Caenorhabditis elegans: one gene and its partner. The protein of the gene in region 1 purifies or fractionates together with the protein of each later gene. This does not show direct contact. Each region holds a gene or a part of one and is shown on either strand. Other genes may lie near its edges.

The links.
Region 2: the proteins of EGAP2.1 (region 1) and Y57A10A.31 fractionate together in Caenorhabditis elegans (co-fractionation; one large-scale study listed by BioGRID). This does not show direct contact.

What each region holds. Positions count from the first base shown.
Region 1 is NC_003280.10:5,229,197-5,234,464, reverse strand, and holds EGAP2.1 (DDE_Tnp_ISL3 domain-containing protein), read right to left. Parts: upstream 3,055-5,268; 5' UTR 3,034-3,054; coding exon 2,698-3,033; intron 2,503-2,697; coding exon 2,375-2,502; intron 2,072-2,374; coding exon 1,872-2,071; intron 1,717-1,871; coding exon 1,566-1,716; intron 1,515-1,565; coding exon 1,304-1,514; 3' UTR 1,190-1,303; downstream 1-1,189. Other genes in the region: pho-1 (Intestinal acid phosphatase), read left to right, coding at 1-65, 405-577, 645-932, 981-1,044, 1,122-1,162; EGAP2.2 (Ribosome biogenesis GTPase RsgA), read right to left, coding at 4,161-4,253, 4,414-4,422.
Region 2 is NC_003280.10:12,287,199-12,292,384, reverse strand, and holds the start of Y57A10A.31 (RING-type domain-containing protein), read right to left. Parts: upstream 3,001-5,186; 5' UTR 2,981-3,000; coding exon 2,881-2,980; intron 2,181-2,880; coding exon 2,035-2,180; intron 1,025-2,034; coding exon 803-1,024; intron 403-802; coding exon 1-402.

The sequences.
Region 1 (5,268 bases):
CTTCTATGCAAAAGCTGATGCAATTAATGATCAAGTTCAACTTTTCCAAAATGGAATTTTTAAAAGTAGGTAGTTACTTTTTGTTTTGGAATTTTTACATACTATTGTTATTATTTATCTTTGTAACTGAAGCTTTTTCTAAATAGTTTTAAATCGTATTAGTGATAAGAAAAAACGTATTTGTTGTGTGCTCGGCAGTAGTATCTCATTTCTTGACTAATTTTTTATTATCAAAAAAAAATCAAACTTTGAAAAGTTGGACATAAAATGACTGAAACTTTGACGGGAAGTTAGGTCAAATGCTGGTCAAAAATGGGCGCCGAGAAAACTTCAAATTTCCCCATCCTCTGAGCGACTCAATTAATTGAGAAAACAACTCATAAAAGTGTAATTTTATTTTTCAGCTGTTCCAAACATTGTCAACGGACATGATGTAGGAGTGTTAACTCGAAAGGTCAGAGGTGGACCAATTTTGAATGATATGGTTATGCATATAAATCTCAAATTGATGTGCCAGGGTCAGACAACTCCAAATTGCACATGGATTAATAATTTGAAGAATTACATTTACTCTGCTGTAAGTTAATTTTACCATAAAACAATGGTTCTAAATATTTTTAAAATGTTGAAAAAATATTTTCCAGCACGACACCACAATCTACGCCTTCTTCTCCGCACTTCTAATTGAAGAATACGCTGTAAAACCGTCTGGTGGATATCCATTGTATTCTGCTGCAGTCCTTTTAGAGCTTTACATTGATAGTGTCGACAAGAAACCATACTTCAAAATGGTATATCACGAGCAAGACGGAAGTGGATTCAAAGATGTGACTATGGGAATTCAAGGATGTCCTCAAAATAGTTCATACTGTGATTTAGATATTCTCAGAAACTTTGCCAATACTATCAAGCCAGATCAACCAATCGATCAGGTATTGTTTTTTTTTTGTTTTTGAATTTAATCATGTTAACTTTTCCAGTGGTGCTTAACCGATTTGAACAAGAGTTCCAGCTTTGCTACAGTCTCAATGCTCTTTATTGCAGGTAAACTTTACCTAAAAGCTCACTTTTTCTATTAGAAAAGAATCAAAGTATAATTCTAATTTTTAATTTAATTACAGCAATTCTTGCCATCAACAACAACTTCCTAGGACTGTTTTAATTGTTTTGTTCTTAAATTTGTAAATTATTAGCATTAAATTGTAATTTATTCGCTTCGTTCCAGTGAGATAAATACACGTAAGATCGTACATGGTTATACATAACCATTTCAAAAATAAATTCCCCCCGTAATAAAATTAAATTATGATGTCGTGTATGTCCTGAGCTCCTCCACACATTTTTCGAGCATTCGCTTTCCTTCGGTTTTTCTCACCACTTGATCATTGAACCAACTTTGGAATGCTTGCTCAGAATTGAGTGCACTTTCCGGATGATTTTTGCGAAGATTTGTGAAGAACATATCACTTGGGTTTGAATAGACTTTTGACTCGTCGAAGAATGTTGCGCTTTGACTGAAAAAAAGAAGAAAATTTAAAGAATAGAAATTTAAAGATGTTACCAACCTTGCATAAGCGGTGAAATTTTCATTAACAGTCTTGATCATTGAAACTGATGAATGTGAATTGACTTTTTCCATTTTAACTTTTTCAATTGTACTTGGCATCTCATCAGACATCACAACAGCGAAACAGTTGTTGGAGTTTGCTTCTTGACCTGAAACAATTGTTACAGTTTTAATGTATACGAGCAAGAACAACATGCCTACCAACGTGCCTACAAAGAGTTCTTAAATGAAAGGCAACGTACTCAACCAAGGCTGTGACGAAAGAGTAGGGGATCTTTGAGATGTTTTAAAAACTCATACTCACCTGCCAAAATGGTGTACATGAAGTCGTTTGCCTTTTTTGGCTCAATTCGAATCACTTCTATGTACACCATTCCCTGATTTTGTCCAATTCTGGGATACTTTGATGCGATTTTATCTGTCAGATCATAGACAACTTTCCGAGTTTCATTCACTGTATGCGTTGATAATTTGAGCTCATTGGCCATGTGACTTGTGGAACAGCTGAAAAATTAATTGAACTTTTTGATACCAAGATACGTGTTGAAACTTTTTAAATATTTTTTCAATTAAATTGTTAAAAATTATTCAAGCTTTCAACTACAATGTTTTCAAAGTTGAGTTTTATTCAAAATTTAATTATAATCTAACTTTATTCAACATTGTTTTTATTGACTTTGAATTTTCGCGAAATGAGAAAAAAAACCACCAACTAATCAACAAGGCACATGTCCTACTATTCTGATTGGTCAGAGTTTTATTTCTCACTTTTGCACAAATATAAAATAAAAACCAGCTTTAACTTACTTTTTACAGTGCATGATCAAAAAACTGAAAATAGTTTTGAAGGATAACTTGGTATACTCGAACCAACTTCCAAATTTTATTGAGCAAGACGAGCAGTCCCCTCTCTTATCCTTTGTTCGGCAGCGCCACTGAAAAAAAGAACAACAATTAGAAATTAAAATCTTCACTAGAGGCTCAAAAATGCATGCCTACAAGGCATTTTGCGCTGCCTACTCTACATTTCTTCTAGGCGTAGGTGACAATCAAGACAAGTTAAGTCTGCTTTTTAGACACGTAGGTAAAGCTGACTGATCAATTTTAAATATAGTATAAAAATCTCCAACCTCATAGCAATTCTTTCTCCTTCTCAAATGCATCATTCGATCACACTTTCTGCACTGTTGCCGTTTTTTGAGCAAACCTCTCTGCATCATAGTAGTCACGATTTTTGGATAATTATCAAACTTTTCCACGAGATCATCAATAATCTCATTTGTAGTCGGTGGCCGTTCGTCATCATCCTCCTCTGCCATTGCAGATAAAGATGCTGGTTTGGGAAAGTGAACAGTCTCAAAATGGGGTTCCTGCTCAATTCCTGCATAGAGATCTGCATTCAGTTGGGAGAGCGCATAATGAAGTGGCTGCGAGAAATCAAACTCCTCAAGTCCGTCGGATTCCATGACGAATACTGAAATTTGGAAGTTGATTAGAAAATTAACATTAAATCGACGAGTATATAAATATATCTGAATCGATATTTGTAAGAAAAACGAGGGAAAGGGTTGGTATGAATGAAGAGATGGGGGGGGGGGTGTAGATAGAGAGAAGAGGAAAAGAATGTTAGAGAAAGAGTAGGAAGAGACAGGGGGGGGGCAAGGGGGGTGACACCCCCCTCTCCTTTTCTCTTTTCTTTTACACTATTGATCCAAAACGAGAGTATTATATGTAGTTTGCTGTTCTCGAGAGTCCATCAAATTTTGAGAATCAAACTGGTTTCTAGGTTACTGTACCTATATATAAATAAATTGAATTTGTTTTTGAAACATTGTGTTTGTGGATTCTCAAATTTGTAAACCTCTTGTAAATAAAACCGTTCAGGTTTCAATAGAAGGCAGAAATTTCTTCGTGCCCATTTTATGCCTTCCAAATTTTTACCGTGATCTCCGTATACTTGGGGTTTCCACAGTAGTCGTTTTTTGCAATAAACTTATAAATATTTGAGGATTTATTTAATATAATAGAAGAACGTATCTCAGACGACACGTATGTCGCCTCGCAGGCAGGTAGACAAGATTTTCAGTGGGAAAAAAATGAACATTTATAACCGATTTGCTGGAAATATATTTATTTTACAAGGAAAATGCACTAAAAAACATATCAGAATCTTAATCATATGCAATTTTAAACGAGTTTAGGTTTTCAAGGTTAAAAATTCACAGGGAGGGTTTAATCATAAAAACTGGGACAAAATGAAAAGGGATGCAGTGGAATAAAATAAGCGAGAAGTGATGGAGGAGTGATATGTGATATAGAAGTATCATAGACTAGAATGTCGTTTCTTCGAGCTACAAGCTACACTATCAAAAAAAAATTTGATTGTGTGTGCCACCTCATTGCACATAAATAATTTGAAGAGGTGCTGAATCATCATCCGAGTAGTAGGGATCGTCACGATTCCACCAGTATACAGAAGTCTCGTCAGTGATCGCGCTCTCCTCGTCGGAAACTTCTTCCTCATCAGAATCATTCTCCTTTGCTGGCTCGGCATCCTTAAATTATAAAATTTTCGCATGCACGCACAACAAATTTATTGTAAAGATAGCTGCGGCTCGATAGCTGCGGCTTCAGCAAGCTCCAAACGATCTTGCTCAGCATTTGCTCTTCTTTTCGCGTTGTGAGCCTGAAAGACCATTTTATTTTATAAACATCAGAAGAGCGTTTAAATTTATTAATCTTGAAAAATATATCTAACTGTTACATGACTCCAAAATAAAATGAATTATAAAATTTGTGCATGAACGTGCTGCACATTTATTGCAAACTTTAAGTTTTCACTGTACCTGCTTCATCTGTTAGGTTCTTCCACCAGTTCCTCTGCTTTGCATTTTTTCTTTGTCTGCGCAGTAATGAATATTTATATCGATACTAACAAAATTCTAACAATTCATGTAACAGGGGAGCGATACAAAAAGACAAAACAAAAAGGATAAAGTGAAAAGGTCAAAAATGAAGAAAACTTCGGCTCTTATTCTAGCTGGAATAGGGCGGGGCCTGATGGGGCGGTGACGACGGGTTATCAAAATGAGATTGCGCGCGAGTACGCGGTAGGTCAAAACAAAAAAGAACGAGCGAAAACTTATAAGTCCAGACAGAGTTCTCGATGGAAAATGTGCTGTGCGGTACCTTCTGATTGGCTTCGGCTTTGTATACGACGAGCGAAGGTGTATGTCCTGAGACGTTTAAGTCTGATCAATCGTGGAGCACATCATCCGAGTACTCTGCCTTTAATAAACTATTTAGGGTGTAGTCAGTTCTTGGTTGGGACACTGAAAAGATTAAGGGATTTTTTTCTGTGTGCAGTGTAAAGATTTCCTAAACAACAGGAGCAGAAGATTGAGAAAATGTTCGTTTTTAAAAGAATCTCGTAGAAGCGAGTAAGATGGTGTCCAGATAGTTTTTAAAAAGTATAATATAACAAAAAACCTCACGTTGCTCAACATTTTTCTTGATAGTAACTTTTCTGTAAAACTATGTTTATAGAATCCGATGTAATGCCAATTTATTTGCAGAACAACAAGAAGTTTCATCCGATCAGTTATTAGGTCGTTCAATATTCTGCAAAGTTCACTCAAAAACTTCAATTTTTTTACTGACTCATCCTTCCCGCATTGCCAGATGTTTTAGTTTTGTGTTCA
Region 2 (5,186 bases), 7.1 Mb from region 1:
AGCCAAATCATTTCTCTTGAGATTCTTCTGTATCCAAAGCTTCTCTGATTGCTCCAACTTTCGATCGAAACGTAGCGGACATCTCAAAAGTCTCTCGTAGAACACACGAGCCGAGCATTTCGTGAATTCCGTGTACTTTTCGTCGAAAACCAGCGCAAACTGCGACTCGGATGACTTTTGAATGAGCGTCGGCATTTCTTCACCGTGTCGGAATCGAATCGCGTAGCCACTGTTCGGCGCGGCGAGTAGAATCGGTGGAGACGGAGCAGCGGCGGAGCCCAGCTTTCGGCGGATGATGTTCTTTGTGTATTCTGGGTCGCCATCCGAGTCGATGAGTAGGTAGGCGGTAGGCGTGTTGTTGAAGGTGAGGTATTCGCAGCGACGCTTGTTGAAATTGATATTCTGGAAGGAAGGAGGGAATTGTTGAATTTATTGGGAATTTTTTTAAATTTTGAAATGACTTTTTTCTTTAAAATTCAAGAAAAATAAGGAAAACCCATGAAATTTTGAATTTTGGCAGAATTTCCTGTTTTTTGTGATTTTTTTAAAAATTTTTTAGTAAAACTCTCCAAAAACCCTTCAATTTCTGTTTTTTTTTTTGAAACTTTTAGCGAAAATTTTGAATTTTCTCTAATAAAAGTTAGTGGACCACATTTTTTAAAATTAATTTCTGCGATTTTCATCGATTTTTTGAACTTTCTGAAAAATTTTCTGCATTTTTTCCCAAACAAAATTTTTAATTTCTGATTTTTTTAAACCAATTTTTTTTAAAAATAGATTTTTTCCGATTTTCCCAACAAACCTCTCTGTGAATCCGTCGAATATCTTGTGGTCCGAGTGGCCAAACGACACAAAATTTAAGCCAAAAACGAGTTTTCATGTTAGCGGCCCGGCCGACAAGCTCTCTGGTGGTTTGCTCGAACGCGGCGACGTCGATTTGTGCGGTGGAGCACGATGGATTGGTGCTTACGGTAGTTGACACGAGGGAACGTCCACAGAGAGCCTGGCTTGTGTCTTGGGACTCCTGGAAAAAAACAAAAAATTGATTTTTTTTTTGAGAAAATTTGAGAAATAAATTCGCATTATCTTCACTTTTTTTCTCATTTTCAGTGTAATGGACAATTAAAATTTGCTACTAAAAATTACTCTTTAGACCCTATTTATGCTCCTAATACCGAAAATCAATGCGAAAAAAATCAAAAAAATTTCCCTGATTTTATATTAATTTTTAAAAATCCGAAGATCCATTGGTTTGTTAAATTCAAACGACAATTTTTGCCTGATAACCGTGCCGCAGGTGTGGATTTACGAGATTAATATTTTTAATTCATTTTTATTTAATTTTCATACCAATTTTCCAGATTTTTCTCGTTTTTTTTTTTTCGTTGTTTTACATTGAAATTCTTGTGACTTTTTATTTATGAAAACAAGTAAAATTACATGAAACAATCGACCTTCTGCTGGAGATAGAATATTTCATGTAATTTTAATTGTTTTAATTAATAAAAAATTATAAATTAATGGAAATCACAAGAATTTCAATGTAAAACTAGGAAAAAAACGAGAAAAATCGGGAAAATCGGTGTGAAAATTAAATAAAAATGAATTAAAAATATTAATCTCGTAAATCCACACAACTGCGGCACGGTTATCAAGCAAAAATTGTCGTTTTAATTTAACAAACCAATGGATTTTCGGATTTTTAAAAATTAATTAAAAATCTGGGAATTTTTTTTGAATTTTTTCACATCGATATTAGGTATCAGCAGTATAAATACGGTGAATAGAAAAATTTTCGTCCGAAAAAAAAAATGAAAAATAGCTTCTGATAATTTATAATTTATAATTATTTAGAAAATCGTTTTAAAAATTATGGAAATCAATTTTTTTCGTAAATTTCAGGAAAAAACTCTTAAAACGGCATTTTTTCCGGAAAAATCCTAATTTTTCCATATTTTTTTTTCAAATTAACTGCAATTTTTCAGGGGGAAAACAGGATTTTTTTTCAAATTTTTCAACAAAAAAAAACCCTACATTTTGATAATATGGTACGGTAACATTCTTCACAACACTTGGCCATTCTACTGCATAACGGAGCTCTCTGGATGTTGTGACCGGCAGATAGTCACGTTTTTGCTGGCGATTCTCAAAATGTGCACGAGCGATGTCCTCTTTTGACGCTGAAAATTATAGATTTTCAAATAAATTTTGGAATTTTTCCAATTTTTTTTGTGGAAAAAACCTCAGGTTTTTAGCGTTTTTGGGTGAAAAATTGTTTTTTTAAATTTTAAAATTTTTCAAGTCAAAATTCACGATTTTCTGAATTTCTGAAATTTTCAATTCGAAAAATTGTCTGAAAATAATAAGAAAAAGTGGAATTTTTCTCGAAAAAAAATCTAAAATTTCAGTTTTTCCAATTTTTTTGTTGAAAAAATCTCAGGTTCCCACCGTTTTTGAGTCAAAAATTTATCTTTTTGATTTTTTCCAAATTTTTTTAGCAAAAAAAACATTCTTAATCGATTTTCGTCGTTTTTCCAATTATTTTTATTAAAAAATCACCGGGTTTTCAGCATTTTTTTATAGAAAATTTGACATTTTTAGTGAAAAATCGTCAAAAACCATTTTAGAAAAAAACAACGATTTTTTTTAATGCCTAATTTCGTTAAAAAATTTTTTTAAGTTCGAACAAACTGAAATTTTTCGATTTTTTCAATATTTTGAGAAAAATTTTTGAATTTTCTATCCAAAAAAAAGGGTTATTTTCCAATAATTACTGAATTTCTCCGATTTTTATCCTAATTTTTCTCGTATTTTCCGGAATTTTCATAGAAAAACGCTGAAAAATTCTGGTTTTTCTAAAAAAAATTGCAAACTACTAACGCGGCTCATCGTCCCACGGATCTCTTGAATCGACGACAAACGCGAGTTGTGTCAATGGTATGATCTTCTCACTGCGGCGCTGTTTTTTGCCTTTAGCCATGATGGTTTTTGTGTTGTAATCTGGAAGATGAAGGGAATTTTTAATGTAATAGGCGAGTGATTTGAGTAATTGTAAGAGAGAGAGTGAAAGGGAGAATTTGAAAAAAATCGGAAAAAAACCAGTGGAAATTCAGCGAAATTTTCTTGGATTTTTTGAAAAAAAAAGTCAGAATAATTGCAATTTTGGGGACAATTATTGTAAAAACTCGCAAAAAATTATTTGTTTTTTGAAATATTATTGCTTATTTGGACTCAAAATTGTCTAAAAACACTGAACAATTTTTGAATTCTCCTATTTATTTTGGTAGCCTGAAAAGCCTATTTTTTTAAAAAATATGGTGTAGTCGAAATTAAAATTGTCTCCGAATTTTATAATGAAACCTCTTGCAAACTTCTCAAAAAAAAGTTATGGCGGCTCAAAAAATGACCTAAAATTAGTTAAAATTTGAAATTTGACTTGTCAGCGGCTGGAAACAATTTTTTTGAAATAACCGTCAAATTTTAAGTATACACATTATCTTGCGTTTTCAACTAGATTTAGGTACATTTAAGGCAATTTTACCAAATCTGGTAATTCATCGACCTTAAATTTACCTAAATCTAGTTGAAAACGCAAGATAATTAATTTTATGCCAAAAATTATACGGTAATTTCAAAAAAAAAAGTAAGTTTCCAGCCGCTGACAAGTCAAATTTCAAATTTTAACTAATTTCAGGCCATTTTTTGAGCCGTCATAATTTTTTTTTTGAGAAGTTTTCAAGAGGTTTCATAATAAAATTCGGAGACAATTTTAATTTCGACTACACCATCTTTTGAAAAAATTAGGCTTTTCAGGCTCACTAAATTAGGAGAATTCAAAAATTGTGTACTTGGAAAAATTTGAAAAACGAGACCTCTATGTAACGAAAACTGACGGAAAAGGTGAAAGAAAGGGAGGGTGAGGGTGGCAATGCGAGACACGAAAAGGTTGCAAATTCTATGAAAATATGTAGAAAAACGGGAAAAATTCAAAAAGACAGTTTTAAGTGTTTCCGTCTTGTAAAAAATCCCTCTAAACATTTCCGGCAAATCGGCAATTTGCCTAATTGCCGAACGGAAATTGTCGCCCATCCCTGGTACATGGCGCAGGGACCTAATTGATTGATATCGATAATAAGATTAATTTTATCTTATTGTTAAATTTGTTTTAACAGTATAGAGTACTAATTTACACCGAGTTACGGGAAAATCATCTCAAAATATGTAAATGTGTTGAAAATTCCGAACATTTTCCGTAGAAAAGCGAAGAAGATTGCATTATGATTCACAATTCGTGTAATCATTAAAACCAACGATCTACCGAACTAACATTCGCCATACAAATGGAATATTGTATACCTGGCAAGAAAATGGAAATTTAACAAGTTACAGAACACATTTGTCGGGAATTCGAGAATCTAACTTCTATAATCGCAGGGCTTTTGGAATGATAATTTCGTATATCAACTCAATAGCGATGTACATAGAAGAAAGTTCAATTTCAACGGTTTACGATTTTTCCGTTGAAAATATACCGATTTATGCTTTTTTCCGTAGAAAAAAACCGATAATTTTAACATCACTCATGCACATCGTGCGTCGTGGAATAATAAAATCGAACGATGAATCCAGCCAACACACGATCAATAAAGCCATTTGGGACGTCCATCGTCACACCTTTCACAATGGTTGAGGCACATTGATGATGTGGCAGTTAACCATGGGAAAATGGCAGGGTACCAAGTATATGTACAATGTCGGGAAATCATATGAAAATTGCATTCAAATGATTTAGAAGAACGTATAAGATCAGTGACTTAGGTATGTTTCCAGTAGAAAATTAACCCGTTTAGGAATTTTTTAGAAGAAAATTCATCGATTTAGGTATTTTTCCGTAGAAAATTAACCCGTTTAGACATTTTTTTTAGTAGAAAATTCACCGGATTTGGTATTTTTTCCGTAGAAAATTTACTCGTTTAGGTATTTTTTCACTAGAAAATTCACCGGTTCAGATTTTTTTTTTCCGTAGAAAATTAATCGATTGATGCATTTTTCCGTAGAAAAATCACCGGTTTCGGTATTTTTCCGCAGAAATTTCAGCGGTTTACGATATTTTTCCGTAGAAAATGCATCGGTTTAGATATTTTTTCATAGAAAAATCACCGGTTGGTTTCGGTATTTTTTCCGTA